Macaca fascicularis: one gene and its partners. The protein of the gene in region 2 interacts with the protein of the main gene of each other region in a biochemical or structural test. Links are inferred from orthologs where the notes say so. Each region holds a gene or a part of one and is shown on either strand. Other genes may lie near its edges.

Region 1 (4,991 bases), on a different chromosome or scaffold from region 2:
TTTTGTACACAGCTCCTGAAAGAGAGAAATTTTTTTTCACCTACCGACAGACATATTGGAAGGCTGCTAATATTCTGACTTTTACGCACTGTACCCCCTTTAACCTGGGTACATACCATAATATTCTTTCAGTTTTCCACAGCTATAGATACCCCTAGCATGACACTTCAGGATTCAGAAGACGAATGTACCTTTCTGTATCTTAACCTCTCTACTCCACACTTCCCACCTCTGAAAAAACAACCAGCCAAATTCTCAGAACCTAGAACCAAGTCAGAGTAAACACTGCTAATACAATACAGACACTTACATATTTACCTGGCATAATCTCTAGGATTCCACCCACAACCTAACAGATCCTAACTCTCTCGTAGAGTGAGAAAATCTGCTAAAATCTGACAGAAGTCCAAATGAATCCTTTCAGATATATGTAGCTTGTTACATACTCAGAAAGTTAAGTTCTCGGAACTTGAAAGCTCTCTGAAACTTTTACAAGATGTTTCAGCTTATCACACTAGCAGCATGGTTAAGGGCAAACCAGAGCAGCTACAGAATATTAATGAATATTTTTTTCGGACAGAACACTGTACTACTCCCTGCTGTAAGCCACAACTTACTTATCAAGAAGTCAAACAATAAAGACATTAAAATCAGTGGCAAGCACTCTTAGAAAAACTGGCACCATGTTGTTTGACCACTTTTCATTATTATAGTATGACCATTTGTCCCCAGTGTCACTCCCAGAGTTAGGAAGAACACCAATGTAGAACTACATTTTCATTCGTGATGGTAATTTGGGGCTGATTTAAATTAAATTATACTGACCAGAAAGCTAAGAAGAAAGCTGCCTAATTGTTAAAATTACTAAATGCAGTGACTTTCAGAATTGTTGATTCCATGCATTTCATGTACAGAATGTTGAAGGTATTCAAAAATAACTTTAATACAGAACTTTACATTGTTAGGAAAATCACATAAAATTGTAGGTCTAGGTCTGAAGTCAACATAGATGAGTTAAACAGTCTATTTGCTTCCTTTTTACACAATTAAACTATTAACCACATTCTTTGTCCTTTTAGCTAGTATTCTAATAACATCTTCCACCTTCATACTCAATTTTGGGGTAAGTAAAATGGCTTTCCCCCCAAATGCCTGTAATCAAAATACCAATGTTTTTTATTTAACACTTCACCATCTTCAGTCACTTATATAATATTGATCAATGAGCCAACATTATTTAAAAATATGAGAATTACAGTGAGACTCTAAGTCCTGACCCCTCTGGGCCTTGATGTCCACAAATGAACAGGTAACTGCCAACTAAAGTTCCTTAATCATTTCTAAAAGTGGCCTATTGTATACCCTATCGTAAAGGGCATATGTGGTTTAAGAAAGATGTCTAAATTCCTCTAGAACGTTATTTTTGTAGCATCAGAAGTACAATAAGAAAAATAATAATAACCTAAGGGCCAGGCTCAGGGGGCTCAAGTCTGTAATCCCAACACTTTGGGAGCTCTAGGAGAGAGGACTGCTTGAGCCTAGGAGTTTGAGGCCAGCCTGGGCAGCATAGTGAAATCCTGTCTCTACAAAAAATTAAAAAATTAGCCGGGCATGGTGGCAGGCGCCTGTCGTTCCAGCTACTCAGGTGGCTGAGGTGGAAAAATAACTTAAGCACGAGAGGCTGAGGCTGCAGTGAGCTGTGATAGCTCCTCTGCACTCCAGCCTGGGCGACAGAGACCCTGTCTCAAAACAAAACAAAATAACCTAGCAATTCTATCCACCTGTTATCCATGTGGCACGTTGGCCCAAAGAAACCTTACTAATGATGTTACCAATTACCTTCCGAGAAATCTTTTTACTATAAAAGAAGGGCTGAAAAGCAGTCAATATTCATTGAGCATCTACTCTCAAGCTAAGTGTTTTACATTTTGCATTTGATTTTCACGACTATAGTTAGGAAGGTTACTTTTGGTTTAAACGTAGGCTCTGGAGCTAGACCCCATGCCTTCTCCAGGAGCTCCCGATGACCATATGCAACTTACTTTTTGCTCCCTGTGCCTCCGTTTCTTCACTCGGAAAATGGAAATAGAAACAGTAGCAATCTCATTAGAGCAGTTCCAGAATTAAATAATACACATGAAATGCCTAGAGCTAAACCTGGCCCTCGCTGTCATTGTTATAAAAATGAATTATTAGTGTAGGTAGTATTGTTCCTATTTCACAGATGAGGAAACGGAAGCTTAGAGAATGCAATTTACTAATGATCATACCAATGAGTGCAAAGCTTTGGACTTAAAAGCACGAATTTGATTAAATGAAAGTTACTTAGAGAGTGGGAGTCTCATAAATCCAATTTATGAAGCCTAAGAAATGACACGCGGTAAAAATGATACTAGACACAGGACGGGCTCTCAGGCTCGCGGACCGGGTCTGAGCGCAAAGTGGCCGTGGCCCTGTGTCCTGGTCCCGGGGTGCCCGGCAGGGGCCGGCGACTCTTGACTTCCCGGCATTCGCGTTTATAAACACCGGGAAGTGAACTGCACTGCCGCCGCCGCGCCCCCGGTCCCCAGCGGCTCCGCGAGGCCACTTTCTATCCCGGCTCCAGTCGGAGAAGACCAGTCCCAACAGCGGGCGCCGACGGCCGGCTCGACGCTGCTCCAAAAACAGCAGCCAGCGAGGGAGCGAGAGACAAAGGCGCAGGACCAGTCCAGGGGCGCGCTGAGTCCTAAACGCCGAGCCCCGGGTGGCCTCGCTGGCTCCCACCTGCGCTCGCCCAGCCTGGCGGGAGACCGCAGGTGTCAGGAGCCGCTCAGGCCCGGTCCTCCGCAGCTCCAGCAGCCCCGACGTGACAGCGCCCAGGCCCGCGACCCTAGCGCTCGGAACGCGGCTGGGCCGACTCGGCGCCCGGACGCTGCCAGCGCCTGGGACCCGAGGGGGGTGGCGGTGTGCGGACTTCCTCCCGGACTAGCCTGGAATCCCGCCCCAGCCCCCACCGGCCCGCGGCCGCCCCCGCCCCCGCCCCCACGCCTGGCACAAAGGTCCCGGCGCGGCCCGGGCCGGCGGCTGTTAAGTGCTGTTGCGCACCGCAGACCCGAGGCCGCGGCCCGCACCCCCACACCCGAGGCCCGCCGGCGCCTACCTTCTCCGCGCGGCGTCCGGGCCCCGGCGCGGTGGGCTCCGGCCTGCTGTTCCGCGACTCCCGCTCGGCCTCTCCTGCGGGCTGGCGGGGCCTCCCGAGTCTCGGGCGCGGCGGGTGGCGGCGGCTCCTCCTCCTCAGGGGCGGGAGGAGGGGACTCGGCGGCCCAGAGCCGCCCCCCGGCAGGAAACCAGCCGCGGCCCCGCCTCCTCTGCGCGTCTGATCCCGCTCCCGAGGCCGCCACCGCCCTCTCCCTCCGGAAACGCATTCCTCTCCCGCCGCGTCAGCCCGGCCCCGGGGCGAGGAGGAGGCGCAGGAGGAGGCAGGAAGCGCGACCGGGACAAAGGAACTGGCCCGCTCGGGAGCGCGCCTGAGGGAGGCCGTGGAGGGCAGGGCCGGGACTCCGCTGAGACAGTCGCCATGCCTCAGTTTCCTCCTCTGTGAAGGGCGGGAGGGGTCGGTTGCGCCCTAAAGCCCCGCGCGTTCCTGGTGTAGCCTGCTGGGCCCGTGTTCTTTAAGTTCCGCTTCCTCGGATCCGCGTGTCCGACCCTCCCTCCCGTTTGTCCACTGATGTCCCGTTGAGAGCCCGGGAGGTCCTGCATCCCGGAAGCCCCCTCAGTCCCGAGGCAAATCGGTACCATGAACCCCCCCATACCCTGCAGGACTCCATGGGGCCAAAAACCACGTGGTCATTCTGGAAGGGAACTGGCTAAGCCAGGACTGCTTTTCTGGAGTGATAATGTGCTAGCGTGTGTCTAAGAGAAAGGTGAAGACTTGGGAAACCCGTGGGTGCCACGAAGGGTGGTGGGACTGGGGAACGTTTTAGAAAACCTGGTGAGTTGGGTCCTGCTTTTGATAGATTTATCTGGAGGTCCCTTTATGGGGAACAGGGATGAGAAGGAAAAGTTTCTTCCTACGGAGTAGAGTTTCTGTTTCAAACCTCTTTAAAAAAGAAAAAAAAAAAGGAGATGGGGGCTGGAAACAGAACGTTTGAAAGAGAAGGAAACATTCATTATGAGAATGGCTGGGCGCATGTCGATTCGATGATTGAAGTTCGTACCAACCAACATCATACTGAAACCCAGTAATTTCAGTATACGCTGCTGGCAAGCTGCTATCCTGGTAGCAGAAAATGTTGTAGGTTCCACTTGGTGAGCTGCAGCACCCTGTTGGGAAAAGAGCTCAAAAATTACCAGATTTATGAAACTGAGAAGAATCTTGCAGGAGATGAGGGGCTGGAACGCCCATTTGGCTGCTGCCAATCTAAAATATAAGAGAAAATGAGGCGATCACATCTAAGAAAATTTGCACATTACTTACCAGCAAAATCAAAACTATTGGTTAGCCAATGTCTGCAGACCTCTAGGAAATAAGCACTATTTTTCCCGCTTAATGGATGTTCAAGCTTAAGAGGCTAAATGATGTTCCTATGTTAATATCTCAATGGTCAAACTGCCATTAGAACACAACATTCTTGAATTTTAAAGGTATGGATTTTACCATTGTTGAGAATTCATCAGAATTAGCCCAGTCTCATTACAGAAAACTGTATAGTTCAAAAGCATAATTGGTCCATGCCTGATTTGCACTACAATTCTCAGAATTTTTTCTCCTGTATATGACTGGTGGAGGCACTGGCTAATCTTTGCTACAAGAACATTATGAGGTTTACATATGCACAACTCTAAACTAAATTAGTTCCTCCAGGGCAATTTACTGACCTTTTTAACACCACTGTCGAGCACTGTTGTGAGGACACATAATAGGGGCTCAGATAATATCTGATAAATGAATAAATGGGTCCTGTTGCTCTCCCGGGACTTGACTAAACTGATGTGTGAGGTAGCAATTTGTG
Region 2 (3,671 bases):
GCTCTGGGGTCATGGGGACCCGTAGGGCTTCGTGTCAGATGCTGTGGAGCTGAGGGAGGATGTGGCAAGAAAGCTGAGTGTTGTCCCTGAGAGCCTTGCTTCCTGGCCCTTGTCTGCAGATGTCTGAGGTGGTGGTGTGCTTGTCAGGGGTTTGATCTGGGCCAAAGCCACCTGAAGCCTTTGGCCTGCGGAGCAGGCAACTTTGTGTGCTGCAGTTGGCATGTCCCAAGAGCATGCAGGCAGCACTAGGAGCCAGGACGACTTGGGATGTTGTGTGTTTGGGAGCAGTCTTTACAGTGGGAGAACATAGGTTAGTGTGGGAATCCACGGCAGGGGTACCAATGAGGAGATACTCAGCAGGGGCCCCAGGGTACCTGGGATTGGCACTTAGAATGCATCCACCTACTGCCACCTGTAAAGGGCCCTGTACCGAGCCTGGGGGAGGGGGCCTCATCCCAATCCCTTGTTCAGGGGAATGGTGGCATGTTCAAGTTACCTGGCAGATGGCCAGGGCCTGCTGTGATTTTGAGGACTGCTTAGAGGGCTCTTGACTATCTGGCCACCTCCACCAGGGAGCCTTCCTGACATCACCCTACCCAGTAATGGGCTCTCCTCCCCAGCTCTTTGCCTCCTTGCAGCCTGGGCTCCATTCCGCGTTGCTACATGTCCCTCTCCTTGCGTTGGCTCGAACTCAGGGAGGCAGAGGAAGCAAGTATAGATGGAGCCTTCTGGAGTCAGGGTGGGGTGAAGCAGGAGCCCTGGAGGGAGGTGACCTGTGGTCGGCCCACGCTTTGATATGCTCATTGGTACCCCTGTCAGGTTGGCCTTGACTGGTCCCCCAACCCCAACAAAGCTACAGCCACCCACAGGAGAATGGAAGCAAAACTTTATTCCTCTTGGCTGGAGAAGAGAAGTAGTGGGTGGTCGTGTACAGGACCCCCATCCCTCACCCCTCCCAGAACCAAAGAAGACAAGCAGCGCCACCAAATGGCTCCCTCTGCCCAAGTGAAAGCCGAGAGGTCAGCGGCTGGCTGGGGAGGCAGGTGAGCGCAGCACGGCACAGGGCAGGGGCGGCTGCAGTGACAGGCAGGCGGCCAAGGTGGCCCAGGGGCCAGGGCTGAGGGGAGGAGGGCGGGGCTGCTTGGATAGTGGGGCAGGCTTGGGGGCTGCCGGCTGGCACTGACCCCAGACTCAGGGCACCACAACGCGGTAGGGGCTGCCTGGGATGTGCTCGTCGCCCCACTTGACCACCAGTGTGTACTCCCCCTTGTCCTTGAGCAGGTAGGACACGCTGTAGAGCCGGCTGCCCACGTGCTTCACCAGGATCTCCTCGCAGGGGGTCCTTGGGCCATGAACCCCCACCAGCAGCATGTTGTTGCCTGAGGCAAGAGGGGTCCTCAGTCACAGGTCCCAGCCCCCTTCCTCCCGCTGGTGTCCTCTCTCCTCTCCTGTCCCTAGCCAGTTCTGGGGTGACAGTTCTCTCTTGCTAAAGAGCTGCCAGCACCTCCCCAACCCAGGCTGGCTTAGCAGATTCCAGTTCCTCCCTGGCCTTTGTTTGAGGGTCCAGGAGGTGGCTCTAGAAGTGACAGCCATACCCCAAAGGTGGTCCCCCCTCTCTCAGATACTGGCCGTCCTGTGATTTCTGGCCTCATTTTGGTGGGAAGGTGGGCCGGGGGCCCGAGTTTGCCCACCTGCTTTGCTGCAGTCTACCGTGAAGCTGCTCTTCTGGCCTATGTAGGCCTTGCTCAGTCCCAGGCCCTTGGCCACCACCTTGGCGGCGTCAGCAGGCCCAGGACCCGGAGCCCCATGCTGAGGAGCGCAGGTGGCCTTGGTCAGAGAGTCTACAAATACTGATGATGTCTCGTGGAGGCTGTGGTTGCTGACGAGACGGGGGCCTGCAGGGCAGAGTGGGTGGGGCTAAGAGGTGGCCATGGTGCCAGGCATTGGGCAGGTACCAACAGCTTGGCCCCAGGCTTACCTGTGACTTTGGCCTTGAAGGGGCTGCCCCCAATGTGATAGGGGCCACCATACTTGATGGAGATGAGGTAGCTGCCAGGTGCCATGGGGGTATAGGTGACACGGTAGCCCTCAGGGCACTCCTGGCAATCCATCTTCACCTTGGAGGGGCCATCAATGGTCACCGACAGGGCACCAGCTCCTGCATTGCTCGTGTTCACGATGAACTCAGCTGGGCTCCCTGGGAGCACAGGAGGTCAGGCAGAGCCAGACTGGTCTGCCTCCCTGTCCTCAGCCACCCAGCACAGGCTTGTCACCTCCAGATGCCTCCCGTTGTCACCAAGAGCTTGGAGGCAGGGGTCTAACAGCTGCATGCACACCTGCAGCCGCACCCACAGACTTACCTGTGACACCGCCTTCCAGGCCTGCTCCGTAAGCAGACACCAAGCCTGGGTCCCCTCCATGACCGGGCTCCCCAACTCGGATCTTGAAGGGGCTTCCAGGGATGTGGGTGCCATTGAACTTGACGTCAATCAGGTAAACGCCATTCTCCCGAGGGATGAAGCGCACAGCATATTTATCTGAGGAGCAGGGAGCCATGCTGTGGGCCTGGGGCTCCTCCTCAAACCAGCAAATGGTGTCTGAGGAATAGCCTCAACCCTGGCCCTACCCGTTTTGCTGGTCCATCAGTGTGAGCCCAGCCATGCTGGGCACCTGCACCCTGCAGCAGACCTCCCGAGGGCTGAAGCTTTAGACACTCAAGCTGCCCACTGCCAGGGTGCATTGGGACAGAAATCTTTTACAAGCCAAACCCAGGCCTCGCTGCCTCCTAAGAAAGGTTACCGTGAACAACATATCCCCTGCATGTTAACGGGCTCAGAGACAGGCAGGAACTTGCTTCAGGTCACGCAGCTGGGAAGGGCAGGACTAGGCTGTGAAATGAAGCCCACTGGGCTCCTCTTACCCCCAAGGTTGCCCCAGGCCTGTGCACAAGTACCATGGCCATGGCTAAAGGGCCGAGCAGCACTGAGGCTGGACTTTGAGTCTTTGCCTGTGGCGACAGCATGGTACTTCAGGGTAGAAGGCCTTCCTAACAGCCATGGGCGGCGAGCCACATTCACAATGGCTTGGGTCACCAATTGAGAAAGGGTTGCTTGGCTTAGGGGGGCCAGGAGATGGGGCCCCGTCTTGGCTGCTTACAGAAGCGGTACCTTCCTTTTGTACTCTCAGCCTGCTTCCAACCAGCAGGGCAGGGCGGCCGGGCGGGGACAGGGCCTCACCTTGGTCAATTTCTGTGACATAGCACTCCTCCAGGGCTCCTGAGGGGCTGTGCACCTTGGCATCGATCGCCCCCTTGGCCCCATTCAGGCTGACTGCAAAAGAGGCTGGCTGGTTGACCTTTAGCCCTGACTCCTGGAAGCACAGCAGACATGGTTAGATGGGGGGCTTGGGCCAGGGCAAGGGCAAGGGAGAAAGGAAAGGCCCCAGGAGCAGGAGGCCCGCGGGTTGCACTTACCCATCTGGCGTCCAACTTGGTTTAAAGAGGGAGAGCCACTGATTTGCAAGGGGCAGGAAGCCACAGGCACACATCCCCACGCCTGCCCCCACACTCTGCCATCGCACACACCCAGGTGGCAGGAAGGGAGGGCGGCCCCACCCTGTGGGCAGCACCCAGCCTTGGCAGGCTGTCCCTCTTTAAACCACAGCCCTGGTGC
Region 3 (5,042 bases), on a different chromosome or scaffold from region 2:
GTGAATCTCTCCCGAATAATCTAAGACCCTAATGAAAAGTCTTGGTAGTTTATTTACTTATTGATGTACATTGACGATGCCACTACATAAAGAAAGCAAGAATGACGGTGAGAGGAAGAGAGGGAAGAAGGAAAAATTCAGGAGAAACCTCCCATTTTTATGTGGAAAGTGCCCTGTTACAATGATGAGCATCCATTCTGCACAGGCCCAGATGCCCACTACCTGCGGCAGTGCCAACACCACCAGCTAAGAAAAGCACCCACAAAGGCCAAGCTTCCAGTTTACTTCTTTGGGTCCCTGAGCTATTGAGTCTCTAGGCTCACGGGTCACCTTCTTCTCTACCTCCTGAGTGAAGGGCCCTTCTGCTGCCTCCTGGCCCTGCCAGAGGCTGGCCCCTCCCCGCATCTGTGTGGCTCAGACACTCACAGCTCAGGACACAGGACTCCAGGTCCCTGACCCATATTCTGCCTGGGCTCTACAAATGCCAGGCTCTGTCATCTGTGCCAGTGACTGGAGGTGGGGGTGACAGGGGTGGATGGGGCTGGTCAGTCCACCTCTGAGCCTCCCCAGCACCCCAGTCCTAGTGCAGCCCACCTAGCCCTGTTCTGTCCCTTGGGCACCCAAAGACGGTGAACCCTCACCTTGGTTCCTTAGTGGCACAACACATGGGGCTTCTGGAAGCTCTAACTCCAGGCAGCAGAGCGGGAAGGCTCGGGCAGGACAGAGGGAATCCTCCATAGTCCCCTCCTCACCTGCAGGGCTGGCTGGAAATCTTTTAAGCTAGATCTCACCCAAATCGGCGAGGTGCTTTTTCCTTTTTTTATCCTCTCTCCTCTGAGTTCCCCTGACTCCGCCTTTATTTAAATCTTTCTCTTCTCTTGTCTCTGCTTTCCTCTCTCCTTTTTTACTCCTCTATGTCCCATTCTTTAAAACAGGCAGTTTAGGAATCAATTTATTTTTATTTCAGAACCACCTCCCCAAAACATTCCTCTCAACCACAAAGCTCTTAATAACTTCATTCATATTCCTGGGCATTAATTATTCCAAAAGATGGTGCTAAGGAAAGAGAACCACAGACACAAGCCACTCCTGCGACAGCCGCCTCCTGTGGGCAGACTGACCCTCTGCAGCGCAGAAATGGAAGGACACTGGGCGGACCCAGAGATATTTTTGTGCCTCCTTTGGGAAGACTCTTTGGATCTAGCCTGTCCACAATATACGGGCACCTTATGATGCCTTGACTGTGCCAGAGACATTTCCCCTGGGTGCACGATGGTCCTGTTTACCACTGCCACAGCACCTCGAGAGGCCACAGGACACTGTGGCTTTGAATGTGGACCTTGCAGACCAAGAGGTCAGATTCCTGACTCCAACACTTAACGGCCGCCCAGCTTTACCCAAGACATTTAAGCTCTCATAACCTGTTTCCAGACCTGAAAATGGGAGTAACAATCACGTATAACTCATGGCAGCCTTGACAGAGGTCAATGAGAGAAACCTGCACACATGCTTGGGTTAGTGTTCAACGAATGCTTGCTGGTATGGCCTGTGTTGTCACTGTAAGGTCATGGTGGGTGGATTATACAGCGTCCCCCACCCCTACCACCACAAGGCACTCATGACCCGGCCTGTTTGTGCAAGAACAGATGATGCAAACTACCATGGCGCCCAGTGGAGCCGCTGCCAGCTTCTTCTGGGGACACTGTGCAGCACATGGGCCTGCCATCAGCTGTCAGGACCCGTCCAACTGTTTTGGAAGTGCCTCCAGCATCTGCCACTGGCTGCCTCATGGTGCTTCTGCCCAGGCAGAGTTCAGGGCTGTGGCAGGGGAGCTGGCCCCAGCTGGATCTGTCTGTGCCCCTCGGAGCCCCCTCAAGCCCTCACCTCACGAAACAAGCTTATCTTTAGAAGAGCACTCCTGTCCTGTGCAGAGGCTCAGCTTCTGCCCTGCTTCAGGCCCTCCTCATTTACCTGCCCTCCCTCGGAGTCAGCAGCCTCCTTGCCTCCTCATTCCAGTTCATACCCCTGGCTTCCCGAAGAGCCACCGAAGTCAAATCTCACATCCTCCAAGGGAAATGGGCCACTGAAATGAAAATGATTCTCCACCTAGAGGCACCAGAAACCAAGTAATGTTTCTGGGCTTCCAATTCTGGGGCCTGAGATGTGAACACACGGGTGGCAGTGTAGGTGCCTGGCTGTGTCCCGTCATATCCTGGATGCTCAGTGCGTGTGGCTATGTGTGTGCTGTCCTCTGCTCAAAAACTCTCAGGAAGTGTTCCAACTTCTTGCTTGGCCTGGAAGCATCTGCCTCTCCCTCTGGCCTCCCCTTCCAGCCTCACCCCCATTTTTCACGTGCAGGACCCTTTGCCAGAGCCACATTTCACTTTCTACCATCACCCCAGGTCCCTTGACTTCCCAGCCTTTGCCCAAGCTGCTCCTCCAACTAGAGGTCTCTGGTTCCACCCTGAGGCATCCCACCTATCCTTTCAAAGGCCATGGCCTCCTTAAATGCATCATGCATATGCGTGTGCACACACATGCATGGTATTCTTGCATCCCTGCATTCCACAGCTTTGTTAAATCTCACATAAATAACATTCCTCCATTTCCTCTCCTAACCCCAAGCAGTTGAAAGCAGAGCCCATGGCACCTTGGTTGCTATGGTCTCCCACAATACCGTGCATGCCTAGGCACTCTGCAACAGTTACATTAAATTAACTCCCACTCATGAAAACCTCTATCTGTGCACCTGACCTGAAAGCATTTCTGAAAGTCATTTGTCTGACAGATATTGCCCAAGACCTACGGACCCAACAATAGCATCATTGATAACTCCTCTTGCATTTCCATTTTTAGAAGTGCACAGCAGAGTGATATTCTGAGCGAGAGTCCTCCAGAAGAATGGGTAAGTACGTGCAAATTGCTGAGCCTCTGTTCATTGCATCCAAAATGAAAGTCACCAGCATGCTGTATAACTCAAGAAAATACGAGAGAGAGGGAAAAGCAACATCGCAGTTTGACTACAAGAGGTTTCCAGTAAGTACTGCAGTTGAAAATCCCAGCCAGCCAAACAATCTTTTGCAAGATCTATATAAGAAAGTTGAAAGCATGCATTACCTGTTAGGCTCTGAAACAAGGGTACAATTCAGGGGTAATACAAAGGATTTTCTTGAGAGTGTCTGAATTCAGAACATGCTCCCCGAGTTTTCCTTCTGCCCTGGCCCCAAGCTTCTGGCTGCTCTGCCAGGCAGTTCTGAAACGCTCTCCTTTGAAGCAGGGAGTTTATTTTGGGGCCACCGCATGACCAACGTTGACAAGCCAAACTATAAGATGTTATGCATCTCAGATTTCCTGTTTGGAGGTTGCACTGAGGAAGCTGCGATCCTGCCTTCCGTTCCTCTGGGTGCATCGAATACAGACTCTCACTTCAGAGAGGATCCCGGAGCTTTGGCCCTCACGTGATGTCATCATTTGTGATCCTTGACATGGAGGCCATATATGGGTATGTTTCTGGAACTACCCAGGAGGGAGCCAAACAGGAGATGCAGTGGGTCAGAGACAGAGGCAGGGAAAGAGGATGAGGAGACGCAGAGTTGGGAGACAAAGAGTGAGGAGCAGGGGAGGAGAAAGAAAGGGGAAGAGGAGAAGAAAAGGCAACAAAGGAGGGAAGGCAAGACAGCAGGAAGGAAGAGGATGGAGTGAAAGAGGAGGGAAGTGGGGGAGAGAGGAGATGAAGGAGTTGATGTAAAAGGGCTTTGGAGAAATCAAGGTTCGGTGCTGAACTTGTGGCAGCATTTGGGGATACCAGGTGTCTGGCTGCTGGATACTGTGGGGTGGGGCTGGGGATACAAAGGGCCAAGGTACAAATGAGCCAACAAACAGAGAGGCATGCGGGCAAGTCCTGGGCAGAGATACACAGCAGAAGGGAGCCCTTCCTCCTGGTCTAGGGAAGAATGTCCCATTTCCGGAATAGGTCGAATGTCAAAGACAACACACACACAGCCACACGCACTGAGCATCTGGGATGTGATGGGACTCAGCCAGGCACCTACACTCCCACCTGTGTATTCACATCTCACGCCTCAGGGTTGGGGGTCCAGAAACATGACTTGGTCTGTTCCTCTATGTGGAGAATCATTTTCATTTCAGTGGCCCATTCCCCTTGGAGGATGTGGGATTTATGACAGCCACAGCATGATTTCTCACCAATTAAAACTCAGGAAACCTCAGGATGCCTTTACATGCACTTCGAATATTCCACAAGGAAATACATCTCAGTATACAAGGTGCCATGGGGTTGGGTCAAGGTTCTGGAGGTATGACTGGTGCTAAAGACAGGAGGGACACTAGTGGTCCCCAGGCAGTCCCCCAGCTTCCCTGGTACCTGCCAAGTTGCTCATCACCCCAGCTGGGACAGTCTTCCCAGGCCACTGTGGCTGGGTGGCCCCTCAAAGTTAGCTCAGGTTCAGTCCCTTCCAGACCCATGTGCTATGGAGGGAGTGCAGGAGAAGGGCAGAGAAGGGGCTGTCAGATTTTTTTTACTTTTGGGGGTGTTTCCTCCCCGGTAGAACGTTCCAGTGGCCTCTGTGAGACAGCTCCCTGAGGCCGGGCTGCTTTCCTGGGCTCCTTGCTGGAGACAAAACACAGGTTCCTCTGCTTCCTGCCCACCGCCTGCCCCTCCCCAGTCCGACCTGGAAGGTGGGCCATAATCACACAAGGCCCTTCCTAGGTCGCCCTCTGCCTTACCTGCTCAGTCCAGACAAAGCTCTTGTGGTCAACAGAGCTAGAGAAACTCAGACTCCAGATCCCGAGTCTTATACTTGGACTCAGCTTTAGAAAATCAAGACCCAAGTTGTGGATAAGAGTCACAGAGCACAGAAAATGCACTTGGGGGTGGGGGTGGACAGCAGACGATGGGGGCTTGTCGGACACAGTTTGATTGCAACATGAAGGCATTATCTTGCCGCACTCACAACAACCTTCCAAGCATCACCGCATATGACAGATGAGGAAACTGAGGCTCAGAGAGGTTGGATGGTTTG

Evidence for each region.
Region 1: the proteins of FLNA (region 2) and ITGB1 form a complex in vitro, tested with the Homo sapiens proteins (3 studies listed by BioGRID and IntAct). The link is inferred for Macaca fascicularis from reciprocal best matches to the Homo sapiens genes FLNA and ITGB1.
Region 3: the proteins of FLNA (region 2) and ASB2 form a complex in vitro, tested with the Homo sapiens proteins (3 studies listed by BioGRID, with this or other methods). The link is inferred for Macaca fascicularis from reciprocal best matches to the Homo sapiens genes FLNA and ASB2.

The regions. Positions count from the first base shown.
Region 1 is NC_088383.1:33,709,007-33,713,997, forward strand, and holds the start of ITGB1 (integrin beta-1), read right to left. Parts: upstream 3,243-4,991; 5' UTR 3,140-3,242; intron 2,967-3,139; exon of another isoform or gene 2,043-2,966; intron 1-2,042.
Region 2 is NC_088395.1:160,382,370-160,386,040, reverse strand, and holds the end of FLNA (filamin-A), read right to left. Parts: intron 3,370-3,671; coding exon 3,237-3,369; intron 2,538-3,236; coding exon 2,361-2,537; intron 2,198-2,360; coding exon 1,979-2,197; intron 1,896-1,978; coding exon 1,692-1,895; intron 1,380-1,691; coding exon 1,192-1,379; 3' UTR 872-1,191; downstream 1-871. UniProt on the Homo sapiens protein: Promotes orthogonal branching of actin filaments and links actin filaments to membrane glycoproteins. Anchors various transmembrane proteins to the actin cytoskeleton and serves as a scaffold for a wide range of cytoplasmic signaling proteins.
Region 3 is NC_088381.1:161,986,923-161,991,964, forward strand, and holds the start of ASB2 (ankyrin repeat and SOCS box protein 2), read right to left. Parts: upstream 3,243-5,042; 5' UTR 3,118-3,242; intron 1-3,117. UniProt on the Homo sapiens protein: Substrate-recognition component of a SCF-like ECS (Elongin-Cullin-SOCS-box protein) E3 ubiquitin-protein ligase complex which mediates the ubiquitination and subsequent proteasomal degradation of target proteins.